3 linked regions of the Daphnia pulex genome follow. The protein of the gene in region 1 purifies or fractionates together with the protein of each later gene. This does not show direct contact. Links are inferred from orthologs where the notes say so. Each region holds a gene or a part of one and is shown in the gene's direction. Other genes may lie near its edges.

Region 1 (3,215 bases):
GTCTTCTATGATCTGCCTTTCGTCTTGAGTTAGTAATCCTAGATTGAAATATATATAAATATGTTAATTGTAAAGAAATAACAAGGTAATCTAAAAAAGAAGGGTCTAATCATTAGACTACCTGCAGTTTGTAAGGACGAAAGATTTGGATAGATTTTTCGTATAGGATGAGACACCAGACAAAATGAAAATATCAAAGCAAGCAATTGCCATCGTACAAATTGATCGATAATCACAGGCCCCTTTAATAAAATAGCGATTAAAATTATTGCATTATAATGATAAATGACTCTCAGTTGGACTTACTTCAGGTAGATCTGGTTTCAGTGAAAATATGAATACGGTAATTGATTGGTCTGTTTCGGGTGTTTGCATCGAGTATAATCGTTGCATGGCTGTTGATGTAAAGAAGCCAAGCAATACCATAAGGTTAATACTACCGCTATATCGGGAACAATGTTCGGCAAGGACCCTGAAATTCCTACAAACAATTTACAAAAATAGAAAACGATATTCAGTCAGCGCGTGGAACGTTTACCATTATAAGACTGTTGGAATGTATTGACCAATACTTAACATTTTTCCATATTCGTCGAGGATGAATTCGTAGAGAATGCTCAGCCATATGTATACTATTGCGTAGATCACCATGTGCTTCCATAACAATTTGTAAACACTTCGTTTCCATCTATAAAAGTAATTGAAATTACAATTTTGAATGAATAAGATAGCATTGCCAAAAATGCCAATGACGGAAGAGTTACTTCAGAAGAATAGACACATTGCCGATGAATTTCTTGTAGGTTTTAATTGAAGTCGTCGGATTTCCAAACATGGGATTCATCGTCGTAATCGTCCGTGCTAGCTTATAACGTGAACTTGAGGATAACTTAGAGACGTGGGACAAGGCCAAGTGGCTGTAACAAACCACTCTCACTCTTTGCTCATTACGTTCCTACTAAATGTTACACTACGAGCTGTGGGCCAATTTATTAGGAAAAAATGTCGATCCTGATAATACCAGTTAAACCACAATTAGTATCTACTTGGCCTTGTAGTGTAGGTGTAATCTAATCTAGTGGTTAAATTCAAGTGAAACCAATAATAACTTACCAGGCTTGCCGGCTGCCGCAGGAGACTGGAAATCAGAAATTGATAGACCTCGTGTATATCTACTCATAAATCTTTTCACTAAACATCACGAGGAATAAATACACTAAAGCACCGACCGTACGGTACGGGAAAGAATAACACACAATGTCACAATGACACAACAAGAATTCTGATGTGATGTCTGGCCGGCGCCGGCCATTCTCTTTCTCTTTCGTTTTTCCCTGCCCTTTCCCAAGTCTGTATATATATATACAAAGCGACACCATCGCATTTGACAGCTGTCTCGAGCAGACGTCTATGAAAGAATGGCGCTCGTCGATTTGGGAAACGACGCTAATGCCTGGTAAGTAAACAAAACTAATCTTTTAGATAATGTCAATATTTTACCTTGTGGTTCTGGCCCAAGCTCTTACCAAATAATACGAAAGACAAATTTTTGTTGCTGCATCTGTAGATGTTATCACATTAATTCTTAATTGTATCCATCAAACCAGGGAAAAGGAGTTCTCATCTGCTGAAAAATTACATTTTTCATTACTGGGGATTTTTAATGAAAGGGATCACCTACCAAAGAATTCTCAAGCACATGCAAGACTTTCTTTTCAGTTGAGGAATAGCTTGAGTCAACTTTACAGTGAAATCCAAAGTCTTAAAGGACATCTTGAACGGCTCTCACAAAATAAACAATTGTATTGTATTGACTTCCACCTAACATTAATGAAGTTAGCTCATTTCTAAAACTTTTCACTCAGGACTGCAAGAGAGAAAGAACGGCGGGGCCTTCTCCTTGAAGATCTTTTAAGCAAACATAAGCAGCTTCTGAATTCTGTCAATAGCAGGTTTGTAGTTTTTCATACTATGAATAGAAATATTTTCATTTACAGTTTTCTGTTTACTATAGCGTGTTGGATAAGAGCCAATCCCTTAGTAAATTGTCATCAGGAACAACAACCTCTTCAAATCCATCATCATCTGCAATGACTAGTGAACATATCCCTCATCGTGAACTCAAACAAATCCAAGTCCAAATTATGGCAGGTTAGTGGATTTAAATGTGTTATTCATATGTGTCTTAATAAAAATGTATTTTCTAGATCAAGACAGAGGGCTGGATGAGCTTTCGAGAATTATTGGCAGGCAAAGGCAAATTGCCCAGACAATTGGTGATGAAGTTGAATCACAAAATGGTAAATTCTTTTGATTAATTATCATAAAATAATAATAAAAATTGTATTTTCTTGGTTTAGATTTGATTGAAAACATCGCAGACAACGTTGATCGCACTCGGGATCGAATGGCACAGCAAACTTCAACAATAACTGTAGTTGATCGGAAGGATCGTACTTTTGGTAAACACAGATCTTGTTAGATAAGGTGCTTCAGACAGATGCAATAATTTCTTTGTTTTCACTTCAGGATATTGGATGGTAATCCTGTTGTTGTTTGTTGCCATCGTTGTAGTCGCTTCTATTCCGAAACATTAATGAGAAATTCCAAAGCTGCCTAAGTTAATTTGACCGTATCTCGTCCTTAAAACTACATCGATTCTATTAAAGTGATGAAAGAGAAAAATATATAACGCAATTTATTCTCGAAATGGTTGTATGACAAGTGTATTTATTTGCCCATTCTTCGTGGGGTTTACATTTAGGGCATTGAAATTGAATGTGAAAATGAACCAGGCTTCTTTTTATAGACAAATTAATTTATAACTTCCGTTAACAACTTTCGTTCATCTTAAAGGATTTGCGCATTACGGAGTAAACAATGAATAAGCATAACAGGTTTGGAATGCATAACAGTTTTTATTGATATAATTATTATCTCGAAGAAAAAAAAAGAAGGAAAAAACTAACTGTGAAACGAATGTCTCAAAACTGCAACACATTTTTTAAATGATTAACCTGGAATGTGAATAGAAACTTTAACGGCGTTTTTTTATATAGCAAGGAATTTTGACACAGACAGCATTGACTTGTTTACACATGTTCCTACTTCTCCAAGCTAGTTCCAGTCTATAGAATTTAAAAAAATGTATGTTAATCAAATTACATTTAATAAAACAAAAATACTATTACCTTCTTTAGGGAACCTCCGTTGGC
Region 2 (3,501 bases), on another chromosome or scaffold:
AGGAATCGTAATGCTGGAGCAATTCCCAAACATTTTCTGATAAATGGTATTGATATTACATTTCCTGTATAATCTGTAAAGCACAGAAACTGAACCATTTTCATTTTAGATACACCTAGTCGACAAGCAATGCAAAATGTTGATGGTTTCAAATGGAGAAATAACCTTAATGGTATTTTTAAATATGTTTATTTTGTTTAATATCAAATAACGCAATTCTTAAATATGTATTGTAGTGGAAACAAATGCTAGCAATGCATCAGTAAGGAAACGACCAAAAGTAGACAAAATACCTACTACGTCTAAGAGAAAAAAATTTGACAGTACAGGTATTGATAATAGTTCTCGTTACATTTTATTTATAAGAGCAATTGCTTTAAATTTTATCTGATAGCACCCTCCATGGAAATTATTAAAGAATCAATCAACATTCCCCAGGCTGCTGAAGAAGCAATTTTTGATCCACTTCCAGATTCAATCAAGGAAAATCTTGCTGTTGTCATGGAAGATACGACAGTTGCATCACCTTCTATGGAAGCTACCTCTACTATTCAAGAATCAATGGACACTCACCAGGCTGCTGAAGAAGCAATTTTTGATCCACTTCCTGATGTAATGAACGAAAATGTTGCTGTTGTCATTGATGATTCGACAGTTACATCACCTTCTATGGAAGCAAGCTCTACTAATTTCAAGTCTAATTTTGTGACATTTCAGTCACTAGTAACTTCATCAATGGTACCAAAGAATTGGACATGGTATTTTGATCAAATTAAACAAACGATTTTTTGCATTTCGATGGATCGACTACCAAATGAAAATTATAATGTGAAAAGTGTACATTTTCAAAACAAGAAGTAGTGTATTATGTCAACGGAACAATAAACAATTTACACAACCAAACAATAAAATGTAAGAATGTTTGGACACTTACAAAGAATAAACAATTTACACAACCAAACAATAAAATGTAAGAATGTTGGGACACTTAGAAAAGACCTAGAGGTTTGACAGTTGGATACTTCTACCTTTTTATTTTGTTCACTTCTTGTAGAAAAGTAAGCTGTGATTGGTCAATGAGTTTTTCATAGACCCTTCCTGATTGGCTGGCTTCACGTAGTACCTGACACACTCACTAGAGGCGCTCATCAATTTTTCCAAATCGGACCACGTTTACCCTGAAACCGGGATAGGGAAGCCAACACGGCCGAGAACCGACCAGGTATCTATTGCTCTGCTCTAGTGAGTGAGCAAACCATAGACTCTATAACGTGGTTCCGACAATAGTCAACATTGAGTCATTGACTGGAGTGGATTGTCATTTGATAATTTAAGATAGGTTGTTTAATCCTTAATACTTACAAAAATTAATTATATTCGTCCTACAACTATCCAAAACTATAGCAACGTCTTTTGAGTGTCATAATATCTGCTCCTTCATAAGTTCTGTAATCCATCGTGAGTTTCTCTGCAGTTTTTTATACACGTTCGTCAAGTTATTGATGGGATTGAAGATCGTCTGAATCGTCGAGAAAGTTTTGTTGGTATGAGATTAGTTGACCCATAAAAAATATTTAGTCTTTATTACATAATCTCATATGTTAATTTTTTAGAAGGAAAATGCCGCTGTTATATAGTGTTGTTAGTAGAGGAAACACTGTTTTGGCTAGATTTGCCAATAATTGTACTGGAAACTTTTCTGAGATCACAGAGCAAGTTCTAGCTCAAATTGGACTTGATGATTCAAAAATGACCTACTCTCATGGATCATTTTTGTTCCACTATATTTTGCAAGACAGAATAATTTATCTTTGCATCTCAGATGATGTAAATCTTTTTTTTATTGTCTGCAATTGTAGAAGATGATATATAAATAGAAACCTTTATTTTAGGAATTTGAACGTTCAAGAGCATTTTTATTTTTGAATGAAGTTAAAAAGAAATTTGTAAATACTTTTGGAGCCCATGCATACTCTGCTCTACCATATGCTATGAACACGGAGTTTTCGAAAATTTTGGCAGGGCTAATGGTAAGTCGTGAAATTCTTCTCAATTATTTCAGACATTACTGAGATTTTTTTTTTAAAACCAGAAACACTTTTCTGAATCTCGAGATATCGATACCGTTTCTCAAGTTCAAGGAGAATTGGACGACTTGAAAGATGTAATGGTGAAAAATATAGGTAAAGTGTAAATACGAGCCAGCAAGAATTTGCAACCTCCAGCAGTAGTAACATAATACCATTTAATTTAATTTTGCTCATTATTAGATTCCTTAGCGGCACGTGGCGAAAGATTAGAATTACTGGTTAATAAAACCGAAAGCCTCAGCGCGTCAGTATGTATATTTTAGATATTTTTAAATTTTACTTTGGTTTACCAAGTAAGTTATTTTAAATTGTTTTTAGGCTGTTACTTTCCGGAAATCAAGTCGAAATTTGGCTAATTCCTTGTTCTGGAAAAACATAAAAATAACAGCAATTACTGCTGCCGTGATTTTGGTATGTTATAATTGTTTTACAGTTTAAATAACTATCTTTATTTCATTCGTAATTTTTTTTTTTTTACCATTTATCGACCTGAACTACATTCTAAAATTCGGAATAATATTTTAAATGAAATCTAATTGAAAATATCTATTTTTCCGTAGGTTATTGTGTATTTTGTCGTTAGCATAGCATGTGGAGGATTGAATTGGCATTCATGCATTCAAAATAGTTGATGCACAAATTCTGCGCGTGATCTAATTTTTCTTTCAGTTTTTAAAACAAACATTCTATTTCAACCAAATACGTTTCTGTACATTCGTAACATATAATGAGTCGGTTTCTTTGTTATGATGTTCAACATTTATGTGTACTTTTCTATTCATCGTTTTTTGTACAGACAAGGTTTCAAATATATTCTTGGCATAGTTGCTTTGGGACTCATGTTTTGAATCTTGCTAAACTTTGCGAGAAAAAAGTATTTTTGAACGTTATTTTCTTTGAGTTGGAATCCAAAACGTTCAATTGTTTTCAAGAAATCATTAATATTGCTACATCTGCTTTCAACTTCAGCTACACACAAAGTACCACTGTAATTTAAAAATTACATCAATAAAGATTATTATTTTTTAAAATCTGTATGTAGCATTTACCCAATTTTAAGGACTCTATTAGCTTCCTTTAAAAAGTCATGTATGTTGGAACCCATGAGAGATAAGCAGAAGACCACCTGAACAAGCAATATCTGTTGTTTGATCAAAATTTATAATGCATAAATAATGCTGAAATACCACATCAACAGCTTTGGTTGCCAAAGGAACAGAAGCCATGTCACAAGCAGTAACTTTGTCATTTGCTGCTACAAGGTCAAAAGAGTGAACTTTATTAGGAATGGTGTTTGCTATCTGAGCTTCACCACAACCAAAATCAGCTATCACCCAGTTTCTAGGACTAAAAAAAAAATTTTCATTTGTTAAATTAAAGCAATTTTTTAGCACATGGCTTGTTTTATTTT
Region 3 (3,112 bases), on another chromosome or scaffold:
GGCTGTCAGCAGCAAAAGTGAAACCTGTTTTTTTTCTTAAGTGTTTAAAATGACAGAAGGTTTTTGTTTCATATGTTCAACTTATGAAAAAAAAAAAAGAGATCGCCGAAGTTTTTTCAAAGTGAAATGAGTTCTTTCTCAATTGAATTACTGTTAATGTTGCATTCTGGCACTTTGAAAAAACTTCGGCGATCTCTTTTTTTTTTCATAAGTTGAACATATGAAACAAAAACCTTTTGTCATTTTAAACACTTAAGAAAAAAAACAGGTTTCACTTTTGCTGCTGACAGCCTGACAGGTTACAGTACATGGCCTTACGGTGACTATCGTTTGGATCAAGCAAAGTCTGCAGCAAGTTTCGGCTATCCACCGCCATGGTGCGCACTAGTCGACTAGCCGCACGACTTTTCCCTCTACTTACACGAACCAAATGGAAAAACCTCTATAGGCTAACTGAACTAATATATGAACAATGGGAGGTCGGGTGTGTGAGTCGGATAAGGCGTGGCTTAGTGATCGCAAGAGCACTTTGACACCTGAGTTCGACTCTACTGGTGAACATAGCTGTTTCACACCGATCGATAAATAACTAAGTAAAATAGCAATTAATGAGGTAATAACTCGTCAATGGAATGGATTATCGTTGGTTTCATTGATTTCATTGAATCTAACGAGGTGCAAGAAAGTTAGCATGGAAGTATTGCATTCAAATCCTAAGACCTACATCTAGGTATTCAAATGGCTTTACAACGTTACACTTGTAAGCCAATCGGTTAATTCTTAATCCATGGTTAACTGAATACAGCGGTTCTTTGAGTCCTAAAAAGCGTAGGCTCAGAACTCTAGATGAAGCTAACATTGATCTGGCGATGCCAGTATTGGTCTACAGAGTGAAAAACCCCATACATGTTTTTTTTTTTTTTAATTATTATTGTTTAATTGTTTAAAGTTAGATTTCTGATCATTATTCAAACTTCAGGTTTCAAAAATACTCTGATTTAGACTTTTGCCATCTATTCGCACATGAATATACTAAAAATCGAATTGTTTTTATAAAAATGGTCTTTTTACGGCAATTAGCGAGTTATTGAAGATCCTATGCTAAATGCTATGTGTTCTTTTTAAAAAATGAAACAGTACTTATTAATCACAAACAGCTATTCTTTTGCTGCTTTTACTTGTAGCCCAGCTGACGAATGTGTACACAGTTGTAGTCGTCGACAATAGATGGCGTTTAGCAGAAGATATTTGATGAAATTAATTGACAGCTTTGTTTTCCTTTAGTTATTGTAAAGTTACTAGTTAGTTTGATCCTATTTTCACATTTTCAAGAAAGTTCATAAATATTTTAATATCTGCTATGTCTGGAAGACCAACTAGACCAAGCAGGAGTGAAGGAGCAGATTTTGAAAGAGTAAAGTCATAAAGTGTTTTTACCAAAAACTCACTTGTCAGCTTTAATATTCTTTACAACTATATGTTGTTACGTGGGAGTAACTTAAATACTAACACTAAGAATCCTTGTCCTTTACAGGAGCAGCTACTAGATAATGTGTCTGATGATAGTGATGAAGATTTCGTGCTCAAGTAAGCTATTTCTAATATTTCAAATTAGTTTGTTTCATTTCAAATTTGAATTTTTCCAGTAAAAAAGATGGAGGACAATTTTCAAACAACAAGCTGAAAGAGTAAGCTTACATCTTGAGAATTCAAATTACATGTTGATCTAATTGTTTTTCTTTTGACAGGGTAAAATCCCAGGTGGAAGAGGTCACTAACGTTATGAAGGAGAATGTGCATAAGCTGTTTGCCAGAGGTGACCAGCTGGATGAGCTGAATGAGAGATCAGAAAATTTAAGAAGTGCTTCCGATGAATTTCACACTGCTTCCTCAAGGTAATCTTTTATTTTTAACAACTAGTCTACAATATTTAACAAAATCTTTACTCACCATGCAGGCTCCGTAAAACAATGTGGTGGAAAGAGATGAGAACTCGTCTCATTCTAGGATCACTCTGCGGTCTAGTTGTGCTAATTATGATAGGTATCATGTGCTGCATTTTTAAACATAGCAACTTTTATCTAAACCATTTTTCCAAATCAATATAGTGTGGCTATCAGTCAAATACCATTGATCAGCAAGAAGATTTTCAAGATATCCCCAAGTATTGAAATATGTTGTAACTGAGCTATTCTAAAACAGCTATAATAATTTGTTTTTGATTATTTTAAAAAAAAAAGCCTGTCGACCGGTATTACTAGGCGTACAAGTTGAGTCCATCAAAATCCGCAAATTCAAATATTGAAAGGTGGGGTTTGCACACTATAGTCAGATGAATGGATGACAATTTGAAATATATATTTGATTACTATAAATCCACTTAACATTGTCTTGTGGAATCGAGTGAGATTGATAATGTCTGTCACAGAAAAATGAAAAAAAAAAGTATCAAACACTTTGATGAACGGCTGATCATTTTCCCATTGTATTTCACCTTTTACACGGTTTATATATCAATTGATGAATACAGAACCGATGGTATTCCACATATATTTATACATCGTGTCACTCTCTCTCATTGGATTCCATCCCCCGCCATATCCAACCCGGTCACAGCTCTTTTATTTTCCCTCGAACTGCTGATCATTCAACGAAACTTAAATTTTTTTTCCCCGATTCGTTCTATATTCTCCTAACTTTTCAACAAAAAAAAAAACACGGAGTGAATCTGATTTTATCATCACGTACGGAAGTTTTTTTTTTTCATATGTATGTACAGGGAACTAAAAAATAAAAACAGGGGGAACGACACAGTTTTTACGTTGAATATAAAAAAGAACTCAAACAAGGAAACAACATCGTATCCAGTGGATGAGCAAAGAACGAGAGAGCAAGAGCGGAGAGGGGAGTGTGTGTGTGTGGTGGAGGAATTCAAGTTAAATAAATAAAAAAACAACCAGGGTAATTTTCGCGACGTAGTTTTATCTCTTTGGGTTGGTTTGTTTTTATTTGGTGGAAGAACAAAACGAACAAGAACATAAGAATGAAGGAAGGCATGAAGCATGCATTGGGGATGCTCAGACCCCTCCACAATTGGAATTGTGTCCCGTGG

Evidence for each region.
Region 2: the proteins of syntaxin-8-like (region 1) and vesicle-associated membrane protein 7-like purify together in Homo sapiens (affinity purification with western blotting; 3 studies listed by BioGRID and IntAct, with this or other methods). This does not show direct contact. The link is inferred for Daphnia pulex from reciprocal best matches to the Homo sapiens genes STX8 and VAMP7.
Region 3: the proteins of syntaxin-8-like (region 1) and vesicle-associated membrane protein 2-like purify together in Homo sapiens (co-immunoprecipitation; 3 studies listed by BioGRID and IntAct, counting the BioPlex papers as one, with this or other methods). This does not show direct contact. The link is inferred for Daphnia pulex from reciprocal best matches to the Homo sapiens genes STX8 and VAMP4.

What each region holds. Positions count from the first base shown.
Region 1 is NC_060022.1:2,056,296-2,059,510, reverse strand, and holds syntaxin-8-like, read left to right. Parts: upstream 1-1,331; 5' UTR 1,332-1,418; coding exon 1,419-1,456; intron 1,457-1,607; coding exon 1,608-1,802; intron 1,803-1,865; coding exon 1,866-1,952; intron 1,953-2,014; coding exon 2,015-2,151; intron 2,152-2,207; coding exon 2,208-2,300; intron 2,301-2,360; coding exon 2,361-2,462; intron 2,463-2,529; coding exon 2,530-2,597; 3' UTR 2,598-2,710; downstream 2,711-3,215. Other genes in the region: bestrophin-4-like, read right to left, coding at 1-38, 122-242, 307-481, 578-688, 765-861, 1,114-1,180; serine-rich adhesin for platelets-like, read right to left, coding at 3,105-3,128, 3,192-3,215. UniProt on the Homo sapiens protein: Vesicle trafficking protein that functions in the early secretory pathway, possibly by mediating retrograde transport from cis-Golgi membranes to the ER.
Region 2 is NC_060018.1:6,537,518-6,541,018, forward strand, and holds vesicle-associated membrane protein 7-like, read left to right. Parts: upstream 1-1,252; 5' UTR 1,253-1,339; intron 1,340-1,474; 5' UTR 1,475-1,544; intron 1,545-1,613; 5' UTR 1,614-1,620; coding exon 1,621-1,827; intron 1,828-1,892; coding exon 1,893-2,030; intron 2,031-2,092; coding exon 2,093-2,183; intron 2,184-2,270; coding exon 2,271-2,338; intron 2,339-2,408; coding exon 2,409-2,501; intron 2,502-2,650; coding exon 2,651-2,722; 3' UTR 2,723-2,868; downstream 2,869-3,501. Other genes in the region: uncharacterized protein LOC124188813, read left to right, coding at 130-172, 237-329, 395-861; ribosomal RNA-processing protein 8-like, read right to left, coding at 2,869-3,076, 3,140-3,216, 3,278-3,437. UniProt on the Homo sapiens protein: Involved in the targeting and/or fusion of transport vesicles to their target membrane during transport of proteins from the early endosome to the lysosome. Required for heterotypic fusion of late endosomes with lysosomes and homotypic lysosomal fusion.
Region 3 is NC_060027.1:3,974,530-3,977,641, forward strand, and holds vesicle-associated membrane protein 2-like, read left to right. Parts: upstream 1-1,231; 5' UTR 1,232-1,360; coding exon 1,361-1,414; intron 1,415-1,534; coding exon 1,535-1,587; intron 1,588-1,646; coding exon 1,647-1,688; intron 1,689-1,748; coding exon 1,749-1,895; intron 1,896-1,957; coding exon 1,958-2,043; intron 2,044-2,108; coding exon 2,109-2,134; 3' UTR 2,135-2,164; exon of another isoform or gene 2,165-2,228; intron 2,229-2,240; 3' UTR 2,241-2,552; downstream 2,553-3,112. UniProt on the Homo sapiens protein: Involved in the pathway that functions to remove an inhibitor (probably synaptotagmin-4) of calcium-triggered exocytosis during the maturation of secretory granules.